Linked DNA regions of Oreochromis niloticus. The protein of the gene in region 3 interacts with the protein of the main gene of each other region in a biochemical or structural test. Links are inferred from orthologs where the notes say so. Each region holds a gene or a part of one and is shown on either strand. Other genes may lie near its edges.

Evidence for each region.
Region 1: the proteins of hsp90aa1.2 (region 3) and ppid form a complex in vitro, tested with the Homo sapiens proteins (2 studies listed by BioGRID). The link is inferred for Oreochromis niloticus from reciprocal best matches to the Homo sapiens genes HSP90AA1 and PPID.
Region 2: the proteins of hsp90aa1.2 (region 3) and tert form a complex in vitro, tested with the Homo sapiens proteins (2 studies listed by BioGRID). The link is inferred for Oreochromis niloticus from reciprocal best matches to the Homo sapiens genes HSP90AA1 and TERT.
Region 4: the proteins of hsp90aa1.2 (region 3) and sugt1 form a complex in vitro, tested with the Homo sapiens proteins (4 studies listed by BioGRID, with this or other methods). The link is inferred for Oreochromis niloticus from reciprocal best matches to the Homo sapiens genes HSP90AA1 and SUGT1.

The regions. Positions count from the first base shown.
Region 1 is NC_031966.2:12,642,605-12,649,520, forward strand, and holds the start of ppid (peptidyl-prolyl cis-trans isomerase D), read left to right. Parts: upstream 1-3,904; 5' UTR 3,905-4,022; coding exon 4,023-4,107; intron 4,108-4,604; coding exon 4,605-4,745; intron 4,746-5,283; coding exon 5,284-5,390; intron 5,391-6,850; coding exon 6,851-6,916. Other genes in the region: spmip2 (uncharacterized protein C4orf45), read left to right, coding at 1,378-1,443, 3,292-3,352. UniProt on the Homo sapiens protein: PPIase that catalyzes the cis-trans isomerization of proline imidic peptide bonds in oligopeptides and may therefore assist protein folding. Proposed to act as a co-chaperone in HSP90 complexes such as in unligated steroid receptors heterocomplexes.
Region 2 is NC_031985.2:28,041,009-28,048,225, reverse strand, and holds the start of tert (telomerase reverse transcriptase), read left to right. Parts: upstream 1-4,206; 5' UTR 4,207-4,221; coding exon 4,222-4,524; intron 4,525-5,277; coding exon 5,278-6,544; intron 6,545-6,634; coding exon 6,635-6,824; intron 6,825-6,916; coding exon 6,917-7,070; intron 7,071-7,151; coding exon 7,152-7,217. Other genes in the region: histone-binding protein RBBP4, read right to left, coding at 168-245, 433-559, 660-820, 1,838-1,953, 2,199-2,372, 2,466-2,611, 2,709-2,859, 3,458-3,473. UniProt on the Homo sapiens protein: Telomerase is a ribonucleoprotein enzyme essential for the replication of chromosome termini in most eukaryotes. Active in progenitor and cancer cells. Inactive, or very low activity, in normal somatic cells.
Region 3 is NC_031980.2:5,312,171-5,320,007, forward strand, and holds the start of hsp90aa1.2 (heat shock protein HSP 90-alpha), read left to right. Parts: upstream 1-4,836; 5' UTR 4,837-5,014; intron 5,015-6,060; coding exon 6,061-6,210; intron 6,211-6,376; coding exon 6,377-6,743; intron 6,744-6,833; coding exon 6,834-6,967; intron 6,968-7,162; coding exon 7,163-7,480; intron 7,481-7,601; coding exon 7,602-7,767; intron 7,768-7,837. Other genes in the region: hsp90aa1.1 (heat shock protein HSP 90-alpha 1), read left to right, coding at 1,037-1,186, 1,301-1,667, 1,755-1,888, 2,007-2,312, 2,407-2,572, 2,724-2,914, 3,030-3,177, 3,272-3,540 and 2 more. UniProt on the Homo sapiens protein: Molecular chaperone that promotes the maturation, structural maintenance and proper regulation of specific target proteins involved for instance in cell cycle control and signal transduction.
Region 4 is NC_031982.2:7,942,045-7,949,359, reverse strand, and holds the start of sugt1 (protein SGT1 homolog), read left to right. Parts: upstream 1-4,299; 5' UTR 4,300-4,445; coding exon 4,446-4,459; intron 4,460-4,560; coding exon 4,561-4,609; intron 4,610-5,306; coding exon 5,307-5,397; intron 5,398-5,595; coding exon 5,596-5,665; intron 5,666-7,290; coding exon 7,291-7,315. Other genes in the region: ETS-related transcription factor Elf-1, read left to right, coding at 207-813. UniProt on the Homo sapiens protein: May play a role in ubiquitination and subsequent proteasomal degradation of target proteins.

The DNA.
Region 1 (6,916 bases), on a different chromosome or scaffold from region 3:
GTATTGTTTATCAGAGGTCTCACTCCCTTCTTAGAGTGTCACAGCTACAGACTTTTGATTCTTATTTGAGCAGCACCTGGTAATCTGTCGCCATAGCAAAAATGATCACATCCTTATATTTGGTGTAGATAACGGTACAGATTGTTTACTGCAAGAGAAAACACCAATTTTTCTGTAACGAGCCACACAGACATCAATTTCTTGGGGTCAGCTGCAATTTTCAGGCAATACCATCGCTGCAATAGGATGCTCTAAGTCTCACACCCACATAAAGCCATGTTGTGGTTGAGTTGAGTATGCACACTCCAACAAACAAAACACTCCACATATAGTAAGAGTGGAAGGCAGAGTCAAAATCTTCAACATGCAGGGGGTCCAAACGGTCTGTTTTGGTTTAGAGGATCTTGGAAGAGATCTTTGATATGATCACCAGTTAAAAACAGTCTAATCAGTTTTTCCCCATAGGTCCAATTAAGTGGTTATTACATTTCAGGGTTATGATACGTAAAATAAATAATTTCTTATGAAGTTAAAATGCATCATTTATACATAAGACCCGAATCACACTCTAGAAATGACTAGAAGCAGATTCTACCCACCCAATTAAACATTAAAATCATCTAATAAAGAACTTATGAGCAACATACTGTATTTAAATGAGTGTAACAGCCAAGATCAAATTACCCCTTTCTATTGTGACAGGTCAGAACTATTGCGTGGAAGAAAAAAGAATATTTTGCCAGCATAATGATGGAGCAGCATGTATCATTTTTTGAATACTGTTTTATAATTCAATTGCAGAATTGGTAAGTAAATGAAAAAGTTGGCAACATACGGCAGCCATCTCATATCCATATAGCAGCACAGATGTTTAAAATGTATTTTTAAAACAAAGAAATGAGAATATATGCATGAGCACACACAAATCAAACTGCACTGTGTATTAAAAGTTAATCTGTGGAATATGCATTAATTAATTAGTAGATTTTGGGCTGTTAATTGATGGAAGATTAGACTAGCAAACAGAAAAAAATAATTAATTGTAAATTATTTTAACATGGTGTTTTCTTTTTTCATTCATGATTATGAAATAAGAAAAAAGCATCAAAGAGTGACTTTTTGTTGAACTGATTGAATGAAATATTGGCTTAATATAATGTTATGGACGGTGGTTGTCTGATCTCTTTAAACAAATATATCCAATGAGTGTGACCTAATATGATAAAATGATAATTGCACTACAGTCAGGCATTTAGCTATTTTTGTGATATATGGCTATAAATTAGGAGTGAGAGAGCATATCTGAGAAGTCAATAGGATAAATACTGTTTTTAGGCTCAATGGTCCTGTTGACTATTAACATCTGTTATTTTGTAGCTCAACTGATAGCAGAGGAGGGACAAGAGTGAAAGTGAAGGGCCCAAATGAGACTGAAAACACAAGGTAAGTTTAAATGTATATACTCTGACCACGGGCAATGATTTTACACCATACATCTTTAATAATGTTAAAAACTGAAATTGGATGCATAAGTTTGAATTTATTTTGGATTTTCTTTAATCCACAAAATTTAAAGAATTATATATACAAGTTCAAATATATACATACAGTCACTTAAATTGTTAATAAGTGATGCTGAAGGTTCTTTTAGCTTGAAAGGGGCAAGGTCTATTAACTTCTTGTTAGTGATCATGACTGACTGCAGGCATCCAGCATCAAAAGGATTTGTTTGAGAGCACTCATTAGATGGACCAGTATTCAGAACAATGGAAAACTCCGAAGAAGACTGTCAAGACTTAAGAAGATTTGCAGATTTACACAAGATGGGATGCAGATTCAAACTGTAAAAGCACAAGTTATTTGGACACATCACTATTTTGCCAAAGTATGAAAGAACACACAAACTGTCATTCTCAGATAAGAGGAAATTATTTAGGATGTTCAGGAACAAACGATGAACCACCAAGGCTCAACCCTGTCATGAACTGAAAACTGCTGGAGCACCAGTGTCACTATCCATGGTGAAGATGGTTTTTATATATCGCCAAGGTCTCAGAGGGTACCAACCAAGAAAGAAGCACCTGCTCCAAAACTGAGGCCTTCAAGTTTGATTGTAATTAGCAGCTGCCCATATGGACAAGCCAAATGTCTTGTGGAGAAAAGCTTTGTGGTGAGATGAGACAAAGATTGAGCTATTTGGCCATGACAGCATGGTGGTGGTAGCATTATGCTCTGGAGATATTTTGTTGCCAGTGGTTCTGGTATATTTTGCAAAGTGAATGGAATAATGAAGAAAGAAAACTAGCTCCAAATTTTTCAAATTCACCTCAAACCAATAGCTAGACCAGGGGTGGGCAATCTCAGTCCACGAGGGCTGGTGTCCCTGCAGGTTTTAGATGTGTCCTCGAACCAACACAGCTGATTTAAATGGCTAAATTAGCTCCTCAGCATGTCCTGAAGTTCTCCAGAGGCCTGGTAACGAACTAATCATATGATTCAGGTGTGTTGTACCAAGGTGAGATCTAAAACCTGCAGGGACACCGGCCCTCGTGGACTGAGATTGCCCACCCCTGAGCTAGACCATTGAAACTTGGATATTGTCCAATTGTCCAACAGGACAATGATCCCAAACAGACATCTGAACTGGTTTCAGAATGGATGAAGCTACTGTTATAGTTTTCTGGTTATGATGTCCATGAAATCTGTTCCTCTTCTGAGTAGAGGGCCAGGGCTGGTTGAGCTCCTTCTCCTCCCTCTAGAGCAGAGCTCAGTCATCGTTATGCTGCCAGGTACACCGGTTCCTCGTCAGATCCGAATTAATTCCCAGTACTAAAGGACCAGTTGGTGCTTCCAGAATCCGCCAGATAGTCTGCTACTACCAAGCATGATCCTTGCTGGGCTCAAGAGCCAGTACACTTACCTGTCCCTTGGAATTAGTCCACTCACTAACTTCTGTCTCTGGGTAACCCCACTTGGACAATCTTCCAGCAACAAGTAGGAGAATCACTATAACACCATCTGTTAAACTGCCTGCATCTCCCTTTAAGGACCAAACTAACTTCTCTCTCCTCTCTCTCCCTATATTTTAACACTTTAATCATGTATTAGAGTACTAGTCCTGTTTACAGAAATTCATAATAACGATGAAACTTGTCACACTTTGTTTAACCTAAATTATGTTTTGGTAATACTAATACTTACTTTTCCATAATTTAAATTAGATACTTAAAAATGGTTTCACAGTCATATCTAACTTCCTGTCTTCTCTCTTCTGACTCTTTTTCCTCTCAGTACAGGAACCACAGGAGGAGGCAGCTCAAAGAGTCACTGCAGTGAGACACCATCCCTCTGAGTCTCATCTCCCTGAGTTTTTCAGGCTTTACCCACTTTTATTTTTAATAAACCAAAGATTATGCTTATAACTGGTCTTTGTGGTGCTTTATTGTTATGATTAATGTATGCATTTGTTGTTGTTTTAATCAGTAGTTATAGTCATAGTTATATCTTAATATAACTTATATTATATAACTTATGTTATATTAAGATTGGCTTTAAATTAAGCCAACTGTTTTTCTCCTCTTGGTGTCAGTGGTACAACTACACATGTATACTTTTATCTCTGAGTGCTGAATCCACGTGCAGCGCAACACACAACAGTGGAGACCGGTGATCTCTAGTCTTTTTGGTGTTTTACTTTGGAAATCGCAACCGGAATACGCGTGCAGTCGCACACTCACTGTTCTTCGGTTATACTTCGACCTTTGTATCTATTATTTTGTATCTGTTATTTTTGTTCTGTCAATCGTAATTAGATAACGAATTGTTTGTTTTTAAAACCGTGTAAGAGTCACTAGAAATTACATGAGACTATACAGTTAACACAGACCGTAATCTGGCGGCTTTTATTTTGGTATAGTAATCGGAAGTCGTATGTCTTTCCCATTCATCCCGTTCAACCTGCTCCAGTGCACCGGTTGGATTTAGCTAGCATCGCTAGAATAAGTGTTGATTTGTATTAAAACATGTCTTACCCAACACCATCCGACAAGCCTTCAAACCCAGAAAACCCCCGCGTCTTCTTGGACGTGGACATTGATGGGGAGAGAGGTCAGGACTGTTGTTTAACATCTATTTGGGCCACTTTAAGTCTTAGCTTGTTAGCTTAGCACTATCCTGGCACGTTCTAGTGACTTCTAGAAACTGATTTATATACCACATGCCAAAGACGCTATCAGCTAAAAATAACCCAAGCTGTAAATTACATGTGTTTGTCCTTTTAAAAGCCTTTACTTTTAGAGTATTAAGGCAGATTAAAACGTTTTGTGAGCCAGTTTTGTAAGTGTATGAACCACGTGTGCTTGTTTTGTCTTGTGTTACTATAATCCTATAACTGAAACATTAAAAGGTTAAAAGAGATACGAGTACACAGTCCATTGTATTATAATTATATGTTTAGGGCACTTAAAATGTTTTCAATCTTATTATTTCAATTTACCTAATCAATGATGATTTTTTTCAATATTGAAACTGTCGCTTGATAACCTAGTCCAGATTAATGTCATTGGTGTTGTAACTGATTAAACCGAGCTGCTTTCTGTCCTCAGCTGGCCGAATTGTTCTCGAGCTGTTTGCTGACATAACCCCAAAGACTGCTGAGAACTTCCGGGCTCTGTGCACTGGAGAAAAGGGCACTGGCAAATCGACTGGGAAACCACTGCACTTCAAAGGATGCCCGTTTCATAGAAGTAAATAGCCTTCATGTGATGTGACTTTTAACTTTGGAAGGAGAGCTTGAAGATGAATAGCTCAGTAGTTGAAAGGACATCCAGGGTAGCGAAGCATTTGGAGAATATATAGTTTATTGGATATTCAGCACATTTCCTAGGAGAAAATCCCAAGTTTTAGCATAATCAGTGGCTTGGAAACTAGGTGTATGAGTAACTATTTAAAGCTGTGAGTTTAGATAACACTGCTTGCATGGCTAAATTGCATATAGGTAAGTAAGAGGTAATAAATATATAATATTAATTCCTACAGTTTACAAATATACACAAAGTATGAGGTAGTGTATATTATAAATTGAATAGTTGCTTGTTCACACAAATGCTCTCCCTTAATAGTTGTGCAACAGAGCATTTAATATGCAGACTAAGTACCTAGATTCTCATGGGATTGTTGAGCCCTTGAGAGTTCAATTTTCATAATAAGACGCCTGGAACACTGTTGATATTAAGTTTGTTTAATGTAGGAAAAGTAATGTGGCTGTAAATTTGTTTTTGGCAGTCATCAAGAAGTTTATGATCCAAGGAGGCGACTTCTCAAACCATAATGGCACAGGGGGTGAAAGCATCTATGGGGAGAAGTTTGAGGATGAAAACTTCCACTACAAGGTACACGACCTATCACCAGGACTGCAAATTTGTAGCCATTTTCACACATGCACTGCATGTGCAAACATTATCCAGTCTTTAACTTGCCAGCTCTCAGTTACAGAGTATATGTGAATGCTGGATTACAGCAAAGGACAAATAGACATGTGTGTTGCCTCCTGGGCACTATATCCTGGCATTTAGCCACCTGAATTCAGCAATACATAAGCAAATGTTGCACAAGCTCCGATAGTATAAAGCTGGTAGAAAAGGTAAAATTCATTGACTGGATTTAATCAGTATCAGTTGCTTAATTTTAGAATCTGATGCTATGTCAGCTTATTATATAGGGAGGCACTAGCCCCTCCTGACATGGGCGCCACTTAGCCAGCCTGTAAGGGCTGGCGTAATGGTATTTGAGCTTCTGATGAGGTCACGCAGGAGGCGTTCCCCATAGTGAGACACGAAACGAATGCTATGAAAGAGAACTGCCCGGTGCAGTATTTTCATGCAATTTGAATAACACAAAGTTAGCTTGTTTTGCAAGACTTTAAAAAATACATGGTTGAGCAACACATGATGTATAGATCCCATATCTGATTTAAAAGCTCCAGGAGGTCACATGTAAGATATCAAATTTCCAACTTGTTGAACAATCCTTACCTTTAAAAACAATCTTATCTTCCCCTCCTGCTCTGTTGTTTTACATCTTTACACATCTCTGAGTGTTCCACATAAACCTTTTTTCTCTTCCTGGGAAATCACAGATGAGATGCACAGAAACACTTTGTGTACTTGAAATGACCTCCCACCTAAAAACATCTAAATGTTACTTTATGTTTCTCATCTCTTGTAGCTAATTAGATGTTGAGTATAGTGACTGCAGCTTTATTTATTTAATTTTATTTACATCTACTTCATGCATGCATCACAGGGGATGTAAAGGCTATGTGGGATGTCATTATGTTTGAGCAAGTGAAGCAACGCCAGGCTACAGCACACGAAAAATGACCTCATTCGGCAGTAATGCCAACAGTAATGCAGGTTTAATTACCTGTGAAGCGAACGTGCCGAAATGCTTTTCCAGATCGTTTCCGGCCTGCTTTAACCCCTCCTCGTGCCACACGTGAGAAAGGAGAACGGTGAAATAATCCGAACCTGATTCTCTTGAAATTGTCGGATGCTCATGTGTAAGATGGCTTATGATTCTACATCAGGTGATTTTAAAGAGTTAGCTGAATTTCTTCATGCGCCACGTTGTTTGTGAAGTTTTATCATCTTAAAAATGAAATGCTTGGCAACACAAACTCAAGAGCACGCTGGGATATTTGTGCCCTTAGTGCTTCTTGTCTTTCTTCTGCTGTCATTGTCTAAAGAAGCAGAACAAAGAAATTCAAAGTTACTCAGAAACGATGGCTATGTTTTTGGCTCATGTTTGATGTTCCAGCTGCTTTTTCCAACCTATTTTTTTCTCCATGTAGCATAACAAAGAGGGTCTTCTGAGCATGGCCAATGCAGGGCCAAACACCAACGGCTCGCAGTTCTTC
Region 2 (7,217 bases), on a different chromosome or scaffold from region 3:
GCTGAAGGCAGCAGGTTGAGTCAAAAGAAGCATGTACTACATAAGATTTATTTCAGTGCTTTATTTTTAAATTTAAATGAATATAAAATATACAAAATTATATCACTGCACCATTAGGTACTGTCCTTATTTCAGTACAATTTCATTCATATAAAGAAACATCTTACCTGAAAGATCTCATCTTTGTGTGACTCAAAGGAATGCAGCTTTAGCTTCAGGTTTCTCAAGTCCCAAAGAGCCACGGTCTGTGGGCGGCACAGATGTATATTACAACATGCCTGCAACATTTTCTGATCTCTGCAACAACACTGCAGTTACAAAACTAACAATACCATCAGGATTATTTAGTGAACAGTTACCAAATGCACTCAGTTAAAAGTCCTGCTGTTAATAAAGCAGTACCAATTAAGAAGTGGTGGAATATTGTATCACCTTGTCTGCTGAGCCGGTGGCAACGATGAACTCGCTGTAAGGGTTAAATGACAGACAGTTGACCTCTGCTGTGTGGGCCTCCACTGCATGGCTGGCGTTGGAGGTATTGTTTGAACGAGTGTCCCAGCTTAAAGGACAAGACACAGGGTGACGCTCATCCTTTTGCTGCATTTGAAAAAACTGTAAGTGTGCTTCATCTGCGCGTGGTATTTGACCGAGAGTCTTACATCATAAGCTTCTGGTCGTCTGCTACAGATCCAAAGAGCGACTCGTGAAGCAGATGCCAAGAGACATCTTCAACCACAGCACTGTGACCGGTGAAGACCGTCTTTGCATTTACTATCCTGCTCTCTTTGGGAACAGCACTGATGTCCCACAGACAGATGGTCTAAGTAACAAAAACCACATAAACACATCAAACCTCATGTTTGCACTTCAGTTTGGTAAAAACGTGGTAAAAGTGGAAAATGATTGTTAACAGCAGGTTTTTGGCAGTGCACATTTTTTCATACCTTCCTGACATTTCATTGAGGTCAGTTTATGACACCATTTGTGTGGAAAAAACACTTAGAAGTCACTGTAGCTATGAATGTAAAGCAGGGGTCTCAAACTCCAGTCCTGGAGGGCCGGTGTCCCTATTGCAAACACACCTGAATAAAATTAGTAGGTAATTAGCCAGAATATAAAACTCACCTGCATGCTAAAGTGGCAACCCCTAACCCCTACTCAAGTAAATTTACGTAAATGTAAGTGTTTGGAAAAATGTACTTCTAAAAGTACTTTTATTGCACCACGTTCATTCGCTCATAAGCTGCTGTAACATGAATCAAATGGCTGAATTGCCACCTCAGCATGCAGTCTAAAAGTTCTCTAGTGTCTTGCTAATGACTTACTAATTGCATTCAGGTGTGTTGCAACAGGGACACATGGAAAAGTTGCAGGACACCGGCCCTCGAGGACTGGAGTTTGAGACCCCTGATGTAAAGGATCAGCTGAGTAAATGATTTAATTCACCAGCTGGCACCAGAAATGCTAGTTCAATCACCTAACTGTAGAAATAATGCTATGTGATAACTACAGTAATAGAAACTGCAAATGAACAAAACAGAGCAGTTTAATATTTAAATTAAGAGCATTTCCACGTGCACGTCACACAGACAACTTGAGGGATTGGAACCAAACAGTGAATGCAAACGGTCATGAAGGCTAAAGTCGGCCCACCAAAATATCAGTGTGTGTGACTTTTTGGCAAAGCAGTCTACTTTTATTTATGGTACTGGAAATACAGTGATTGAAACTATTATGACATAAATATGTAAAACAGCCCTAGTTGGAAATATCTGCTGCTAAAAATGAAAAACAGAAAGCGCCATTTCTTCTTAAAACAAGAACTACTTCCTCTTACGTGATCATCTGACGCACTAAGAAGAGCTCCTGACAGATTTGAATTCCAGGATAGACCATAGCCTTCTTTCTGATGGCCTCTGAGACGCAGATCAGGGCGACACTCTCCTGAAGTATCTAAAGACAACATAATAAAATCAACTGTCAATTCAGAGACACTGGAAGAGAGGTGTGGTTTTAAAAGAACTGAACAGACAAGTTTGTTTTTGAGTAGCGACTCTGTGCGCCCAGTATTTATGTTTTGGTGAAGTTGTATAATTGTTTTAATACCAGTAAGCTACCAATTACAATGCACTTTTTCATAACGTACTCAAGAACATGCCATCTTCAGCAGTGTGTTGTGCTTTGTGTGACTGTTGCACCTGGCTTTGAGGGATGCTTGGTGTAATCAAACACCAGCACATCTGAGGTGGGGGTCTTAGTGGCAATGATGCAGGGGTTCTGGGGCATATAGCGGGCACGGTTCACTTCTCCTTCGTGATTGATCTTGATTTCAATCTCAATCTTGCCGTTTACTGAGCCAAAGCCTCCAAACTCTTCAGGGAAATATAGAGAAATATGTTTGCAGGCTATAAGTATATAAAATATGAAGTAAATGCATTATACATTCTCTTTATCAATATACCAACCTCCTTTTTCACTGTCGTAGTGTGAGGCGTCAAACTGGGCATCATCATTGGGCAGCTGCACGCTAGCAATAACCAGGTGATTCTGCTCATCAGAAGTGTGAGTGCCCAAAACGAGCCTGTGTACGCTGTAATCCTTCCCCTCGGGCCTGGTAGGGAGAAAAAAAAAAAAGGTTTTTAATGCATTAATGCCAATTTCTTGCATGTTTGAGATATATTACCGGCCAAATGTGTAAACGCTTCCACCTTGAGACGTCAGGTAACCACTGAACAGTCAGGCTGGGCCACTCTAAGGCATGGGTCATAACCAGGTCGTAAAGAAAGGGGGTGTTTTTCTTCCAGATCTTGTACTCTTCATTGATGACCCTCTCCTCCACCGCATCATCAAAAGCACCAGCTGAGGACAAAATTGTCACAGAACCAGCGATGATAATTGGACACACAGTAATACTGTACTTTTTATTTAGTTACAAACACCCATCAGATATGTCCATAGCTTTCACTAACTCAAGCTGTTAGTTTAATATTAAATGTTGATGTTACTAGATTTATTTCTGTTACAGTTAATCAACAACAACCTTTAAAAGTTGGTCTTTACAGTCGACAAATTTCGCTATCAAATGATTTGACTGTTAACCTGACAAGGCCTCGGTATTTATCAGTGTTATGAGAAACTTCTCATTGTTCCCGCACCTTGCTACAGCGTTAGCATAACCATAAGATGTGAACTCATTTCTTCACCTCTGCCCGGTATTCACACACAAATCATTACCCCAACTTTTCAGAGACGGTGCCCAAACAATAACTGAGCTTTGACATCAGTAAAGTTCACCTTCACACTCTTAAATTATCCCCGCTTGTGTTGACTGTTATAGAGTAAAACACAAGAGCTACGGGCAGCTTGCCCTAGCTGCCACCTAAGCTAACCGGGCAACTAGCTGAGGGGCGTCAAACAGAATCGTTTCTTTTTGCTGACAACTAAAATACTCACTTACCTTCCTTGTCTGCCATTATGTTTCTCCCACGTAGCTGACAGAAAACTGAGAGCTGAGGTGTGGTTAAGGTGTACAGCCCCTTGAGCCTCGTCCAAGCTGGTTCTCCGGTGTGCCTGCAAACCCCCGGTACCGTTTAAACCACCGGAGGTACAACGGCACGCTAAGAACTAGCTAACCGAGCAGCCGACTGTGAGAGACGTGGGTGCATTCGCGCGCTCGGTACAAAGAGGGGCGTCTTCCCACCAATTACGGCGCAGCACCTGTGCGCGTGGCTATCGCAGACTCCGGTGCAGCTGCAAGTAATTTCGATGGCTAATGTATTGTTATCCTTAGTAAAATATACTGTTACAAACTGGAATTTATGAAGGTAAACACCACCCGTGTGGTTATTGTGTTTCTTGGGGGATTTGTCTGGACTTTAGCAGATGCACATCAGGTAGAGCACTATCGTTGTTGTTCTTCTGAAAGCTGCTGTTTGCGTTTTTTTAATTAAAATGTAATTTTAAGGTCACAGAAATATGTCGCTTTAACCGCCTGTGGTGCGCATATAATGCGCGTGACAGAATGAATGATCTCTGGTGAGCAGTTCTCATTTTAATGTATTGGTTCAAATCGCACGTGATACTGTCACTTTTTCACTACACTCGTGCCAAAAGACAACAAGCCTTTACCTGTTTGTCATTGGTCAACAGTAAATTTCCCCCCTTTAGTATGAGGACTTTTGATTGGCCAGCTCCAATAAAGCGCTTTCCCATAGGCTAAGCATGACGCGGGCCCTTAAAAGGTCAAACATAGCTAAATCCCAGTGTAAAGTAGCTAACCTCCGTCCAAGTGCTCCGAACACAGTCGGTATGTCTGCGACTGATATGTCCGGTGTGCTGGATATCCTTCGGTTACTGTACCGGCACACGCAGACACTGGAGGAGTTTTCGGACAGCATCGTGTTCAGAGAAGGACAGAAAGCAGCTCTCATTGAGCAGACAGATACAAACCGATTCAAATCTTTCGTTAGGAGTGTTTTTGTGTGCTTTGACAAGGAGCTACAGCAGGTAGCGAGCTGTAAACAGGTAACGTTTCGCCGGATTGAAAAATATACATGTACATTTCCCAGGTTAGTCCTGAGGAGTTGATACGCAGCCCTCTGTGGACGTTTGAAGCGGTGTAGCTAACTCTGCCTGCCATGCTGTTATAATGTTAAAGCCAGGAAACCATGTTACACTCCTATATTTTGAATATATATATATATATATATATATATGTATATTGAAACTAAGCTGGGAGAAAACTATGCGCTGCTGGAGGATATTTAAGCTTCAGCAAGGTCTTCTTTTTTCTTCTGGGGCACTTCCCCCCCCATTTCTCCTTTATTAGACATGTTTAAATGTATCCAGTTATAATGACAGATAGTTAATATCAGCCGATATATTCGTCCGGCTCTACACGGGGACACGGGGTGGGCCCCACAATAATATTGTAAAAGGGTTTTCACTGTGCTAAGTTATACGTGGAATATTTCATTTCAGGATCTTTCGAGTGCCATGACTCTTTGATTTAATGGCTCTGGTTTTAGTTAGTAAAGAAAATGGTAACTTTGAATCAATTTTAATCACATAGAAGAATAAAGAACTCAGAGTATTGTTTTGTAGCAGTCTCCGGGCTAATATAGCATAGAGTTATATTATATTGAAATGAGACTTGTGGTATAGATGCACACATCAGTAAGCTGACAGGTTTATAAGAGAGTCTGAAGTTTTGCCTTTGTCAGGGTTTAACAGCTTAATGGGAGATGGCTTCTTCTTATATATTCATACTTTCCACAGATCTGCAGTCTGCCTGAACTACTGGCGTTTGTTCTCAACACTCTAAAAAGAAAAAGAAAAAGGAATGTCTTGGCACATGGCTATAACTTTCAGACCCTGGCTCAGGAGGATCGGGATGCAGACTTCCTCAAATTCCAAGGCGACGTAACACAGAGTGCTGCCTACATCCACGGCAGTGACCTGTGGAAAAAAGTCACAATGCGTCTGGGCACAGACATCACGCAATATCTTCTGGAGAGCTGCTCTGTGTTTGTGGCAGTTCCTCCTTCGTGTGTTTTCCAGGTGTGCGGCCCTCCAGTCTATGACAGGGTGTCCATGACCATGGCCTCGAGTGGGTTTTTTCTCCAGCCTGGAGTCAGGAAACATAATCGTACCAAGATTGAGAGCTGTCGAGGGTCAGTGAGTTTGAAACAGAAACGCACAGTTGTGAATCCTGCTGCAAGCAAGAAGATGAAAAGAAGGAATAAAGGAGGGAAAAAAGGGAAAAGAAAACGGGAAACTGGTGAAGAGGAGGAGGTGGCGGTTTGTTCAAGAAAGAGGCGGCGAGTAGCGTCTATAGAACATCAACAGGCGATCCAACCAGTTGGCTCTGAAAAGGAAGGACAGGTTGTGCCTGTGGAATCAGCACCGCCTGCAGCTTTCAAACAGCCTGTTGAAATGCCAACATTGGAGGGCGGTCCTAGTTGGAGATCAGGGATTTTCCCCCCTTTACCACCCTCGCAATGTTTTATCCGCACCCTGGGATTCCTGTATGGGGGCAGGGGCATGCGTGGCTTTCTTCTTAACAGGAGGAAGAAGACTGCTCATGGATCCAGAAGGCTTCAAGGACAAGATCTGGTAAGAATAGTCTTCTTCGAGGGACTAGCGTATTTGAATGGAGTAGAGAGGAAGCCTAAAAAACTCCCCCAGAGGTTCTTTGGCATGGTCCCCCTGTTTAGGCAGCTCTTACAACAACACAGGAGCTGTTCCTACACCAAAATACTACAGAGGTTATGTCCATCAATAGAGGAGAGCAATGCAGGACAGGGAGAACTAAACTCACTCTTACCTCAGCACTGTGCACCGCACAGGGTTTACCTGTTTGTCCGGGAATGCCTCTCTTCTGTGATCCCGCAAGAACTGTGGGGCTCTGATCAAAACCGGCTGCATTTCTTTGCCAGGGTCAGGACTTTCTTGCGAAGTGGCAAGTTTGAGAGGCTCTCACTGGCTGAACTGATGTGGAAGATAAAGGTGAATGACTGTGATTGGTTGAAGAGGAGTAAAACAGGTGAGGTTATCATCAATGATCTTTTTTTTTTTTTTCTTTTTGATTGCTTCGTGTTTCATGCCTGACCGAACCAACGTAACTCGTCTGCAGGCTGTTTTCCACCCAGCGAGCTTGCGTATCGGACACAGGTCCTGGGTCAGTTCTTGGCTTGGCTTCTGGATGGATATGTTACAGGCCTTGTGAGAGCCTGTTTCTATGCAACAGAGAGTATTGGGCAAAAAAACGCCATCAGGTTCTACAGGCAGGAAGTCTGGGCCAAACTGCAAGACTTGGCCTTCAGGTACACTCACACAACATTACTACAGTAGCCAGCATACATACAGACATGAGGCATACGTCCAAAAAAGGGAACAAAATTTGCTTTTCATGTAGAGGTCACCTTTCCAAAGGCCAGATGGAAGAGCTGACTCCAGCTCAGGTGGCATCCCTGCCCAAAGGCACCGTCATCTCCCGCCTTCGCTTTATTCCCAAGACTGATGGCATGAGGCCCATCACACGAGTCATAGGAGCAGATGCCAAAACAAGGGTACGCACCGACAATTACCTCAGACTTGTCTGTTATTACATGCTGTGGGCTGGATTTTCAACTTTTTTTTCCTCCCTACAGCTCTACCGAGGCCGTGTCAGGGACTTGCTGGATATGCTGCGGGCCTGTGTGCGTGCCACTCCATCA
Region 3 (7,837 bases):
CACACTTGAAGTTCTCCAAGAAGAGAAGTCAAGCTCAGTGATACATTTTTCTCCTAGAGGTGACTGAAGACAAAGATTATATCCAAGGTAAGAATGGAATCAATGCAACAATCATTTAGATTTTAGAGTATACTGGGTGCTTGTAAGGTTTTATGTGAAGTGAGTGATTTAATTCACAAGAGACACTTACTGCTCACAGGAGCAGCAGCCAAGCACACACTTGAAGCTTTTGAAGAAGAGAAATCAAGCTCAGTGATTGGTTTAACTATACAAAGTAACAGAAAATAAAGATTATATTCAAGGTAAGAATTAGAAAATCTACAACAACTTTTGTTTTTTACAGTATATTGGGTGCTTTTGTGATATAATGTAATTAACTTAAACCTTTAATATTGGTTAGAATCAGAATGGTATAGTGTATGTGCTTTTCTATCAGTGTCTAAATAGGACTGTTACAGGCATGAAGCACATGGCAAGCAAGGTGACCCAAGTGTGGGACCAATGGCTTCTCAGAATCTATTCTAACAGCTGATGCAGCACATTTGCATCTTAGCTTAGTGACATAAATATGAATCCCATAGAACTGTAAAGGAATTATTCATTCTGGATTAAAACCTTTGTTTAATGTATGAAATGTTCTTAGAAGGCCAAAAAAAATATATGCAGTAGTCGTGACAACAGACTACCCCTTCCTATGCTAAAAAAACAAAGTTAGTTTTTGTTTCATCTTTGAATTTCAAGTTGCTATTTTTTTAACAAAAACACTACACACATTGAAGCTATTAAGGGTTTCCAAAGCATCTGAACCCCCCCCAAACCCCCAACCCCCCAAAAATGCCAGTTCTGTGATTGACAGAAGGAACATGTGCACATCAGCAGGCCATGTGGCTGCCTGAGAAAAACTTAACCGAAGAAGTTCATAGTAAATTAATTTAAACTACAGGTGAAAATATAATTATTCGAAAACACAAAAAATACAGAGGTACAATTTCTTTTTTTTCTGAAAAATGTTACCCAATATGTTCTTCCCCTTTAGATGCCTGAGAGTTCTGCACACATTATGGAGGAGGAGGTGGAGACCTTTGCCTTCCAGGCTGAAATTGCTCAGCTGATGTCCCTTATTATCAACACTTTCTACTCAAATAAAGAGATCTTCCTTAGGGAACTCATCTCCAACTCCTCAGATGTAAGGGAAATAAACACTTCAACACCATGTTTTCCAATTTTTTTGAATGTAAAGCAAGCCCTTATATTTTTTGCCCCCCAAAACTATTTTAATTGAGTTATCTATTTTCGACAGGCCTTGGATAAAATCAGATATGAAAGCTTGACGGATCCCACCAAACTTGAGTCCTGCAAGGACCTGAAGATTGAAATCAGGCCTGATCTGCACGCTCGCACCCTGACCATCCTTGACACAGGTATTGGCATGACCAAAGCTGACCTGATCAACAACCTGGGCACAATCGCAAAGTCCGGCACCAAAGCTTTCATGGAGGCTCTGCAAGCTGGAGCTGATATCTCCATGATCGGTCAGTTTGGTGTGGGTTTCTACTCTGCCTACCTGGTAGCCGAGAAGGTGACAGTCATTACCAAGCACAACGATGACGAGCAGTATATGTGGGAGTCTGCAGCTGGAGGCTCATTCACAGTCAGGCCTGATACAGGTATGTCTTAGTCGCCTCATTTACACAACAATTGAATCAGTCATTTGACCTTGTCTGCCACGGTTCTAATTTTGTTGTTGATTTTAGGAGAGCCAATTGGCAGAGGCACAAAAGTGATCCTTCACCTCAAGGAAGACCAGACGGAGTACTGCGAGGAGAAGCGTGTCAAAGAAGTTGTGAAGAAGCACTCACAGTTCATTGGCTATCCCATCACACTTTTTGTAAGTTTTTAATTACACAGTAAGAACAATTATCCAATCAATACTTGATAATAACCACACATTGGGTGTGATAATGGTATGGCAAAGCAAAATTTAAATATGCCTTTGCATATTTAAGGTGGAGAAGACAAGAGAAAAGGAAGTAGACCTGGAGGAGGGAGAAAAGGAAGAGGAGGTTGAGAAGGAGGCTGCTGAGGACAAGGACAAACCTAAGATTGAGGACGTTGGCTCTGATGAGGATGAAGATACAAAGGATGGCAAGAACAAGAGGAAGAAGAAGGTCAAGGAAAAGTACATTGATGCCCAGGAGCTCAACAAGACCAAGCCTATCTGGACCCGTAACCCTGATGACATCACCAATGAAGAGTATGGCGAGTTCTACAAGAGTCTTACCAATGACTGGGAGGACCATCTGGCTGTGAAGGTAAGCTAAATCTTCTTGTGATAAAACATATTTAGCAACACCAGTTGCAATAATGTTATGCTAATTAATACATATCTATATCTTACCCCTGCAGCATTTCTCAGTGGAAGGCCAGCTGGAGTTCCGTGCCTTGCTCTTTGTACCTAGAAGAGCTGCATTTGACCTCTTTGAAAACAAGAGAAAGAGAAACAACATCAAGCTTTATGTGCGCAGGGTCTTCATCATGGACAACTGTGAAGAACTGATCCCAGAGTACCTCAGTAAGTAACAATAAAGTAACACATTAGTAATAGTGAACAAAATCTTGACCCTTTAATGATGCATTCTCTCAAAATTCATAGTTATTAGTAATTGTTTTTGGAACTCAACTCCTGGCTTTGGGTAGCTGACCAGTTTATTTTCCCTACTCAGATTTCATCAAGGGTGTGGTGGACTCTGAGGACTTGCCACTGAACATCTCCAGAGAGATGCTGCAACAGAGCAAGATCCTGAAGGTCATCCGCAAGAACCTGGTCAAGAAGTGCCTGGAGCTTTTCTCAGAACTGGCTGAGGACAAGGACAACTACAAGAAGTTCTATGAGCAGTTCTCCAAGAACATCAAGGTAGGATCATCCATCTAAATTTCTTACACTCTAAAACTTCAGAAAAAATGTATGATACCAATCATTTTGCATTGATGTTAATAACACAAAATGACACATTGTTTTTTATGCTTAGCTTGGAATCCATGAAGACTCCCAGAACAGGAAGAAACTGTCTGAGCTGCTCCGCTACTACACCTCAGCCTCTGGAGATGAAATGGTTTCCCTCAAGGACTATGTCTCTCGTATGAAGGATAACCAGAAGCACATCTACTACATCACTGGTAAGTTATTCAGTGTGGTTTCCTTTTCTTTTGTTTTCAAGTATTCCCTGGGAGTTTAAGTTCATATAACACCATACTGAAATAACTTTAACAGGTGAGACCAAAGACCAGGTTGCCAACTCTGCTTTTGTGGAGCGCCTTCGAAAAGCTGGCCTGGAGGTCATCTACATGATTGAGCCCATTGATGAGTACTGTGTCCAGCAGCTGAAGGAGTACGATGGCAAGAACTTGGTTTCAGTAACCAAGGAAGGCCTGGAGTTGCCTGAGGATGAGGAGGAGAAGAAGAAGCAGGAAGAGCTCAAGACTAAGTTTGAGGAACTCTGCAAGATCATGAAGGACATCCTTGATAAGAAGATTGAAAAGGTAATTTTTCTCCTTCAGAAAATGATAAAGTTATTATAGTTAACATTATTAGGCATGAGAAGCTTGCTTGACTGTGTTCAAACATACTAAAAATACTGTATTTCCATCCTGACAGGTTGTAGTTTCGAACCGTTTGGTTGCTTCCCCCTGCTGCATTGTCACCAGCACCTATGGATGGACGGCAAACATGGAGAGGATCATGAAGTCTCAGGCACTGAGAGACAACTCCACCTTGGGCTACATGACTGCAAAGAAGCACCTTGAGATTAATCCCTTGCATCCAATCATTGAGACCTTGAGGGAGAAGGCAGAGGCTGACAAGAACGACAAAGCTGTGAAGGACCTGGTCATCCTTCTGTTCGAGACTGCCCTGCTCTCCTCAGGATTCACACTGGAAGACCCACAAACACATGCTAACCGCATCTACAGAATGATCAAACTTGGTCTTGGTATGTATAGCTTTTCCTTCAAACATCCAGGTAGTAGTTAGGTTATTATACATTAATTGAGGAATTTGTTTTTTAATGGATGTATTTCTATACACAGGAATTGATGATGATGATTCTGCAGTTGAAGACATAATTCAGCCTGCTGATGAAGATATGCCAGTCTTGGAAGGCGACGATGACACATCAAGAATGGAGGAAGTTGACTAAATTATTTACTAGACTTTTTCTGGCTTTGATTTTTATTTTTGTAATTTATGTTCCTAATTTAAATGTACATTATTTTTTAGCAGAATTTCTGTTAGTAAACAATGTGCTAGTCAGAAAAAGTTGATGGAATTAATACAGACCACAGTGGCTTTAGTTTATATTGTATCAGCCACTTATAAAACTTCTGACAATCACTAAGAGTATTATTAAGTCACCGGGGTTTAGACTTATATCTCTTTTGTAACATTTTTTATGAAAAGCAATCAAATTTGTAATAAAATATATTTTAAAAATGACACCTGTCACTTTTCTTATCTTATCACCTGTCACTTAATTTTATCACTTGTTTTTGCTTCCTACAAACAATAATACTGAAAGGTGAAAAGTTGTATTAGAGAAGCGCTTAATACAGCTAAGTGGCTTACTTTTATCAATTACATCGTTTGATTTATCATGTATTCTGGAATTTTCAGTGAATACAGCATGGTTCATTCTAGTTTCTGCTCTCACATGCCTTCCTCATTCGGCTCAGCCTCCCCTCCCTTAATCCCGCCTCCTTCTGCCAAGAAAGGCAGAGAGGCATGTACACGCACCATGATTGACAGGGCACCGGGCCAGTGAGCGGCCACCACCGAGCAGGAGGATTCCAGACGGTTCTGGAAGCTTGTGTCAGGAGGATTTCTCGAATGGTCATAGAGGGTATAAAAACCGCACCGTTACACCAGTTTCCATAGAAGCATTAGCAGTCAACGAGCCTGCGAGTAAGGAGCGATCTCTACACATCTTCCTCAGGAGTTTTGGGCACACTGCAAACCAAGGTAAATGCATTAACAGCCTTACCACAGACATTTGGGATACGAAAATATTACACGCCCTCAAATTCAGATTTAATAGTACTAAATGTTAGCTTATTTGACAATAATTTAGAATCGAAGCTGACATTTTTGTCATGTCTGGATAGAAAGTGAGGCTGAAGTGAAGAAAGGGTGAAATGTAGTTACAGCACCTGGTCTTTAAAAACTGATTAAAAAGTATCTGCTCTGAAATTTTAATGTCAGCGTCATAAACGGTAATAAGAATTTGATTCCTATTGTGCCTCATTTCAGAATTCAAACCTGCGGGACAGTAGCCACATGGCAGGATGCTTTAGTGATGCATTTGGGAGGAAGGTGTTATGTTAAGCAGGGGTTTAACTGTTTGAACCTTAATCAAATTTCCTGTGCTAAGATTTCTGCAAGATTTTTTGGGCCATCTTATCCTTGTACCAGGTTTTAATTCAGTGCAAAATCAGTAGGGTACAGAGTGTGCATTCTTATAATCTCGTCAGCTGTATGAGAGGCGGGCGCTTTCGATTCATATGGAAACTGCTAGAGAGTTCTTCTTGCCTCCTCGTACCTTCTAGAAACTTGCACTTCACCTGGGAAACCAGCAGGTGGAGTAATTTCTGCTGATACCGATATGCAATTCAAGCCACGTGTTAATCTCTGATTAGCCAATAACCAAGCAGGATTGAATCACAGTCCAAGAAGGGGGGAAAAAAGGTCCTTGTACCTTTTAATACAAAATTATGAAAGTAAGCAAGAAAAAAAGAAACCAAAAAAAGTGACTATATACTACACATCTACACAGAATTTGCTTTAGTTTGAAGTGATGTTAATTCCTCAATGTTACATTGAGGCTACTTAATAAGGATAAGCTGTAACTGCAACATCTTACATAAGAAGGATTGGCAGTGTTTTTCAAGTGTATGTTGCTGGGATGCAAACATTTAGTGTTATAAAAAAGAGTATTTTATATTGTGTTTCAGTCACTTTAGTCAATGCATTTTTTTTAAAAACAATATTTGTTTTCCGTCTTCACTCAGATGCCTGAAATGCACGACCAACCAATGGAGGAGGAGGCAGAGACCTTCGCATTCCAGGCTGAGATTGCTCAGCTTATGTCCCTGATCATCAACACTTTCTATTCCAACAAAGAGATCTTCCTTAGGGAACTTATTTCCAACTCCTCAGATGTAAGTTTGCAATATTAGACTGTGTTGCTTTGTTTATTATTTAAAATAAAAAAGACATTAAATAATATGCTTTTTTCCCCCTTAAGAAATTGAATTATATTTTTATCAATACAGAATAAATTCTGGAATTTCTTTAAACAATTAACATTGTGTTTTGCTCCATCAGGCACTGGACAAAATCCGCTATGAGAGTCTCACTGATCCTTCCAAGCTGGAAACTGGCAAAGACCTCAAAATTGAGATCATTCCCAACAAAGAGGAGCGTACTCTAACCCTAGTTGACACAGGTATTGGCATGACCAAAGCCGACCTGATCAACAACTTGGGCACAATTGCAAAGTCCGGCACCAAAGCATTTATGGAGGCTCTGCAGGCTGGAGCTGACATTTCCATGATCGGTCAGTTTGGTGTGGGTTTCTACTCTGCCTACCTGGTAGCCGAGAAGGTGACAGTCGTTACCAAGCACAACGATGACGAGCAGTACGCCTGGGAATCATCTGCTGGTGGCTCATTCACAGTTAAAGTAGACAACTGTAAGTGATATAAACCCAAATTTGAAGTGAATTATTAATTATCTAACCCGGTGGTTATAAAGTATACTGACCTATGGTCTTCCTCTACAGCTGAGCCACTGGGACGTGGAACTAAAGTGATCCTGCACCTCAAAGAAGACCAGACAGAATACCTTGAAGAGCGAAGGGTCAAAGAGATTGTTAAGAAGCACTCACAGTTCATTGGCTACCCTATTACGCTATTTGTAAGTACTTAAGTCATATTTAATGATCCCATAGAAGAATTCAATTTGTAACTATTGCAGATAGCTTTTGCACTTTAGACTTCTGAGAAAGTTGCTGAATAAACCTCTGTAACACTGATATTATAAAATAGTGACTCCCTAAGGCTAAGGTGTAGGGAAATTCTTCAGCGTGTGACCAAATGTATTTTCCTTCAGGTGGAGAAAGAGAGGGACAAGGAGGTGAGTGACGACGAGGCAGAGGAGGAAAAAGAGAAGGAGGAGAAGGAGAAAGATGAGGAGAAGGATGAGGACAAACCTGAGATTGAGGATGTTGGATCAGATGAAGAACAGGACCATGAGAAGTCAGACAAAAAGAAGAAGAAGAAGAAGATCAAGGAAAAGTACATTGACCAGGAAGAATTGAACAAGACCAAACCCCTGTGGACCCGGAACCCAGATGACATCACGAATGAGGAATATGGAGAGTTCTACAAGAGTCTCACCAATGACTGGGAGGACCACTTGGCTGTCAAGGTTGGGCTCTTGATATGTTGTTTTAAAAATGTAGCAGTTCTTTATAGGAGGAAAATTGTGTCTGATTTAATGTAGCCCAATATATAATCACTTTTGTTTTTTTATTTTTTTTGCCTTACAGCACTTCTCAGTAGAGGGTCAGCTTGAATTCCGTGCCCTGCTCTTTGTGCCTCGGCGTGCTCCTTTCGACCTCTTTGAGAACAAGAAGAAGAAGAACAATATCAAGCTGTACGTGCGCAGAGTCTTCATCATGGACAACTGCGAGGAGCTCATCCCAGAGTATCTCAGTGAGTATTAAACTGTGGATTACAATTTCCCCAACAATAATAGAATTATAATGAAAATGACACAATGGAC
Region 4 (7,315 bases), on a different chromosome or scaffold from region 3:
CAATCTAGGTTAGTAAGAAAGGGGCAGGTATGGAACCTAATCATAGTACACCAAGAAAGAGTCAAAAATATATTTTTGACTCTTTATCGATGACAAAAAAAAAATGTTTTTTTTGTCATTTTTATTTTAGATTTTACAAATGAGATGTGAATGATTGAAAACTGTAGCAGGTTTGAAAGCTGTCAATTTCTGCTTTTTCCATGCAGGTACTACTACCAGAGAGGCATACTGAATAAGGTTGAAGGCCAGCGCCTCGTTTACCAGTTCACCTCTCTCCCCAAAGACATGATTTACATCACCGACGGAGATGGCATCAAAGAGGAAGACGACGAGGACCACGACGACAACAGCGTCAACGACGAAGGCATGAGCGACGACTCTGACAGTACCATATCGTCTAGTGACCATTCAGCGGAGGAGCAGGAAGATTCTCAGCCACCGCCAAAGAAATCGTCCCCCATCTCCGGCCGCGCTCCCGCTTCACAGCGCACCAGGCCCGCTCCCAGGCCCTCAGCTCAGCGCGACACCGTCCTGCGTCCCACCAGCTCCAGTTTGATCCAGGAACAGCATCTGCCTATCGTGTCAGCTGAGATGCTACGCACGCTCCAGAACCTGCAAAAGGTCCAGTCTCTGAAACCCGCCGGTCATGCCTCAGTCTTCAAAACGGCTCAGCTGCTGGGGAGTCTGTGCGAGCGACAGGCTGCTGCCGAGGTGGCCATAGGGAGAAAAGGTGTGCCGGAGATGTCCGAGAAAAAGTCGCACCCAGGACCAAAAACTCCACAGCTCATGTCTCTGATTAGCTCTGACCAATAAAAATAACAGGTGCCCACTTTCTATCGAACACACAGATGCCTGTACACTCCACCGACTCAGGACCACTTACAGGGCTGCACTTTGCTATGACAATGCTGATTTAAAAACAAGGACTTTTGGTGTAGAATATTATTTTAGATCATAAGTACAGATCAGTGCTTTTGTCACAGCGCTGACAGGAACCAAAATCTCACAGCAGTTTACCTTCTCAGCTTTGAAATCTGATCATTTCGCCTTATTGTCATTCTGTGTAGCCCTTTGTTAAACCAACACCAAAGACAGACATGCACTGGAATCTCTGGCCTCTCTGCACTGCCTGCAGACGCTTTCTCTGCTTGCACTTCAGCTCCAGTGTCCTGGAAGCAATTATCTTATCACCACACTGTGCCCTTCTTCTCTGCTTTTTGCTCTCACTTTCTCCTACGTTGTTTAGTTTTGTGTCTTCATGCTATCACGTCCTGAAGCATTCCTTTGCCTTAAAAGTGGCTTTGCACTAATGTTTACCTCTGCTGTATATTTCTTCTGAAGTGCCTGAAGATGTCAGTCCATCCTATTCCTGGTAATCATAAGGGAAAACATTCCATATTGTTATTGTTATTATTATTATTATTATTGTTGTTGTTGTTGTTTTTTAAGATTGCTGCAAAACAAGGGATCACTGTTATTTTTTCAAAGTAGTATTTTAGCACTTGCGCTGTTTATTATTTGTTTATCTACACCATGGGACTCTTTTTTTCTATTTTCTTCGTGACAATCACCAGTGAAGTGGCCTTGTAGCCACCCTGCCTCCTGTAAAATTATAGTGCTACTATTTATCTTTTCTCTTGTGCACTAGCTATCCATATATGAGTGCATATATTAAACTCTGAATCCTCTATCTGTATGCGTCTATTACGCACCGTAGGGCCTCAACATTAAAACCACTGTGTTGGCTGAAGTGAACACTGGTCATTTCGTTACAGTGCAATGCAATGTTTGGCTGGCGTTCACGTGGGTTTAGCATCAAGCTCAGCATTGCAGAAGGCGCCAGCAGCGGCATCGCTGCACAAAGCAGACCTACATATTACCAGGCTGGTGGTTTTAATGTTTTGGCTGATCTTTGTGTACTGTATGCCTGTGAAAGCTTGTTCTTTTGATGCCATTTTTTTTTTCCTTCCCTCAGGTTTATAAAGCATTTTTGTGCTGCACATATTATGTACTCTATGCAAGAAGTAAAAGTGAAATTGTTAGTTTATTATTTTCTCTTCGCCCGGTCTTAGCGTAGGCTCACGAAGCCGGCTTACAAACTTCACCTCACTCCAAATTTAAAAAAAAAATATGACTGAATAGTTAGGCTGGCTTTTTGAGAGGCTAAACTTGGCAAAGAGATGCTTATGCAGTAACTGTGCCTGCAGGGAACTCTTATGCAGAACTATTTTCACTTTGTTATAACATGTTTGTTTGTTTGTTTTGGTGTTTTTTTGCCCCTTGCTCTTCAGTATGTGTCTTGGGAATGTCTTACCTTAATAGATTTGTAAGCTTGTAGTAGAGGGAGAGGTGGAGCTTGTTTTTTTTGTTTTTGTTTTTTTTTAATGCTGTGTTGTGTTTGCTTTCATGCAGTCCAGTGATGTTAAAGCTAATCGTCTATTATATGAAATAAATTTACATTTGTCATTGTGTGAAATCCATCATTGTTCCTTTGGAAGACTTGGAGCATCAGTAGACGTAGCTTGGTGAGTGTATATGTCGCATTTGAGCAGTGCATTCAACTGCTGCTTTATCAGTAAAGGCCTAATGCAGTGATACAGATCTGCCAGAACTACTTCTACAGAATTCTGACACGATCAGTTTTTCTTTTTTTGCTGTTGTCAGAAAGGTGTTAATTCTATTTTTGATTTGGTGAAGTTGTTTTTTGGCTTACCACATTAACACTAACCCGTCCTGTCATCGTGATAACTCACAAACAAGCTGATGTAGGTTTTTCCAGCTGATACCATAGCTGCATTTACTAAAAATCATGGACAAGTTTGCATCTCTGTTACCTTGTCAGAGGTCAAGCTCTGTGAAAATCTTGTGAACATAGTAACTGAAGAAAAATGTCACATAGGCTTTTCAAATTGATACCATTGAGGAGCTTGTAGGTGGCTGAGGGGTAGCAATGGCGACCACCAGTCTTTTTAACATACCAGTGGTGCTAATCTGAGGTGGCAGAAGTGCAGATACCTCTGTTAAAAAGTGCTCTGGTAAAAGTTAAAGTACTGATTCGACTTCTTTACTCAAGTAAAAGTGAAAACTACAGGCTCTGAAACGTACTCACAGTAAAGTAGCTCTTTGGAGGGCCTTTCTATACCAGCTATTTTTGTGCAAAGCTAACTGAGCTATAGTAATATAATAAAATGACAGTAGTACATAGCAATGCAGTCTTTATTATATAATTTCTGATCTAAATTTTATTTCTAATGAATGTATTCAACTTGAATCAAGTATGCAGAACATGAACATAGAAAAAGAAGTTTATTTTGTGTTGCCTACAGTGTAGAGGGTGACTTTTCCTCTAAACAAGAAAATGTGTACAGTCAGGGGTTAAAGTTGATTCTGCACATGGGGAAACCCCAAAATCCACTGTAGAGGCTCAGTGTGGGGAAAAGAATGAGAACTCGCAATAATTTCTTCTGTGAGCTCCAGCAGATTTTCTTAGTGTACCGGCTGTGGTCAGCTGACCTGCTGCTCTTTGTGGACATACGCAACTGAATTCAACAGGATGTTACATGTTACACATACATACAGCATGTACAAGGATAGATAACACTAAATATGTCCCAGGGAAGAGGATTATTCTTCAGTCCAAAAGTTTTCCTCCTCCTGAGATCAGCAACAATATTTTTAAACACATGCAGCGTCACTGTTAGTTATCTTTTCTTCAAATAGCTACTTTACCTCTTGTTCTCCAGATGTGAACATTAATAATGTACACGACTACCTAGAATGGATGTCTTTTACCATCCCGCATTATTTCCTTAAAGAGACGTGCAACACAAATTTGTCGACTACAGTCAACATTACACCCCACAGCCGATTCGCTGTCTTATTTCCGTTGTTCTCTGTCTGATTACAGATCCAGCTGATGTTGGAGCATTTCATCCTCACAATGAATCATTGGACATTTTTGTGCTAACATAATAGGTCCATTGTACCATAGCTCTGACAGGAAGTCTGACTGAAGTCTGACTGAAATAAGCCATGTCTCCGTAATTCTCGGATATATTGTATCATTTATGTTTCCTGACCGTCTGGGGGAGTACAAATTGTTTGTGTTTATATTCTATCAGCCCCCATTTTTATTTTCATTAATGGTATTATACATTTGTTGGTGGGTGACCGTATCCAGTTTCAATTTAAACGTTTCTATTCTTTGACAAATCTGCCGCCTAATTCTCTGTCCAGAAAATCGTCTCCTTAAAAAAAAAAAGTTAGCGATAACTCCTCCGGGCCGTTAGGGGGAGTAGAGGCAGTATGAGCTGCGCGCAGCCGGATGTTGACAGGCTCTCTGCTGTGTTTGAGCTGTAACTGTTACCGCTATCACGTTTCTCGTAGTCTCCACATCTAGAACTTTCCTGTCACTCCAGAAACACTGTGCACATCCACAGAAGCAGATGGCAACCGAACGGTAAGTTCATCTAAATCTATCAATGAACTGTTCTTATAGCAGCAGACATTTCTTTTCTTTCAGTTATTTAACGCTAACTTGCTTTTTTTTGTTGCTTTTAGCAGCTTCCCCGATAGCTTCATTGACGAAGATCCACAGAAAGCTCTGCAGGTAAAACACTAGCCTCAGCTAGCCACAAACAAGTTTGTGCGATGCACGGTGGCTCTTGCAGGATGTCCATTTAACTTTAAATTCAGTGGACTTACTCTAGAAAGGAAATTGAGTAATACCTGTGGTGTTTGTGTTTCAGATATTACCAACAAGCTAGCGAAGTTAGCCAACATGTTTGCTAGCCCTATTTAGTTATGAATAAAAGTAATCCCAGAATCGCTTCGTTATCATATCAAACGGTCACCTGTTTCTTTAATACCATTAAGAATTAAATATGTCTCATGCGTGAGGAGGTATTACTACATAACGTTAGCTCGAAATAGTCTGCTGCTGGATACTAGCCCTGTCATCCTGACATGAAGTTGTTAACTGTCAACAGACTTAACCAGTGAAGTTTATTTCTGCTGTTTAAAAAGCCTCTGGTGAATCTGCGGTTATTTATGTGACTAACCGGGGCAGTATTATGAAAATCATTACAGTTTGATTTGCAGGAATAACACAGATTCAAATAGATTTACAGAGAGCTGATTCTTCTATAACGATATCCGACTGCGAAAGTGAAAGTTGCAGATGCATAACAGCTCTACTTTCGATTTAAGCATTTTTCTAGAAGTTTCTTTCCTGCCACAATTCTTGAAGCTGAAAACACGATTTTAAGCCCTTTATACAATAATAGCCACCTCGTTATTATTTTCAGGAGCTTAACGAGGCCTTACAAGGAGACTCAGACAACGCTGAGTGGTTTTGTCAGCGTGCCTATGCCCACATACTGCTCAAGAACTACAGCTGTAAGTCTGCATAGCACATGTGGAAACAGACCACACTAATTGTATTTTTGATGCATTATTAAGTGCATGAACATTATGTGCGCATTACAAATACGTGTTGTTTAGCTTTTGAGGTTTTACACTGCATGTGACTCAGCCTGGATATATGCACTGCATAAAGAAACATAGTAATTTTTTACTTTTGTTTTATGTCCACAGGTGCTGCTGATGACGCCAAGAAAGCACAACAGCTAAAACCCAGCCTCTCTCTTGCTTTCATGCGCACAGGGTATGGACTGTGAAATGCACGCCTTTACATAGCACTTTTCTAGCCTGACTGACCACTCATAGGGCCAAATTTACTAAAAGGGGCAAAATGGCAAGTGAGCACAATCCCCAAATAGTGCTCGCAGGTGTGGTTAGTTTTATAAGCAATGTACAAATATACTTTACAGTACAAGAAAAGCTTAAAAACACTGTGGGCCTTCCTCACATCCATGGCCAATTCAGAATCACCAACCTAACCCACAGGGGTCCACCCTGGCATGCAGATGTTTAGCTCAGTTTAGACTGCACTTCATTTACTGTTTGATATGTTCATCTCACCACTAAAAAAAAAAAGGTAAATTAACTAAAATAATAATTAAAACATGTAGTTTAATTGATTAAAAAATTATCCCTTCTGACACAAACGTACAGCCAGCTTTATTGACAAGATGGGATGAAACCTGCTGTGTATGGCTCATGTTTCTGATGTTATCTGACGGTTGTCACAAAACTTCTTTCAGCTCAGTGATTTCAATTCTGAAGGCCTTTGGTTCAGTGCTCCCCCCACACCCCAAACCTGACCTCTAACTTAAAGGAAAATTTTGAAAACCCGTCCTCGTCCATCAAACAAACTTCGGTCAGAGCTTTGTTTTAACACACAAATCACCAAAGTGGTACTGTCATGCTTTTTCACATTTTCCATTTCAAGCGGGCCTCGGAGGAGTCATCCTTGCCTTCGTCTCATCACGTTTGAACTATTGTAATCCACTCTACTCGGGTCTCAGACAAAATTCAGTCACCTGCCTTCACCTCATTCAAAACAAATTCACAGAGACAAGACAAAGTGATTTAAAGTTGAGCTGATTTGAAGCTTTTTTTAAAGTTGTATTTATTGTTACTTTTAAAACCTTGCATGGGCTCATCCTACCCGCACTGTAGATTTAGTTGGTTGGTGTTAATTGAGCGACTGGCTGCGTTTGTCAGGTCAGATCATTCTGTTCCCACAATACACCTCATTACATAGGTGTTTGAGTGTTTTCTGTTACCATAGCAACTGAGGTTAGCAAACTCAGTACTTTGAAATCACTACTCAATACTTTTCATAGTAAATCTATTTTTACTGCCCCTTTATTATTTCTTTGATTTACTTCTTTTCGTTGTGTTTATTCACCTGTTATTCACACAGCATGTTCAGATTTTATGCCTTGTTTTAATTTGTTGCCTCTTTGTTTTTATATATTTATCATGTTTTGTAAAGCAATTTGTAACTATATTTTATATATTTTTTCTTTATTGTTCTTATTATGTGGTCACAATATAAATTTGGTGTGGTTGCATTATGTAAAACTTCACGTTTTACGCCTTGCAATGTAAGAATTGTCTGAAACCTTTAAAGTTATACTTAAAAATGTAATTTCTAAAACTACCATCCATTCATTTTCTTCCGCGGAAGTGGAAGAAAACTACCAGTGTAGTAAGAAGTCTGATTTCTGCGCTTCCTCAGAAGTTAATGCACAAAAACTACCAAAACATTTTGCTTTAACAAGGTAAATCATACAGATGTTGTTTGTCAGATGAAGCTGCGTTTATTTTTCCAAGATTGCCTGATCTAAGTTCATGTGGCATGTTTTTCTTGCCCAACTGCAGAATAGCCGAATATCACCTGAACAAC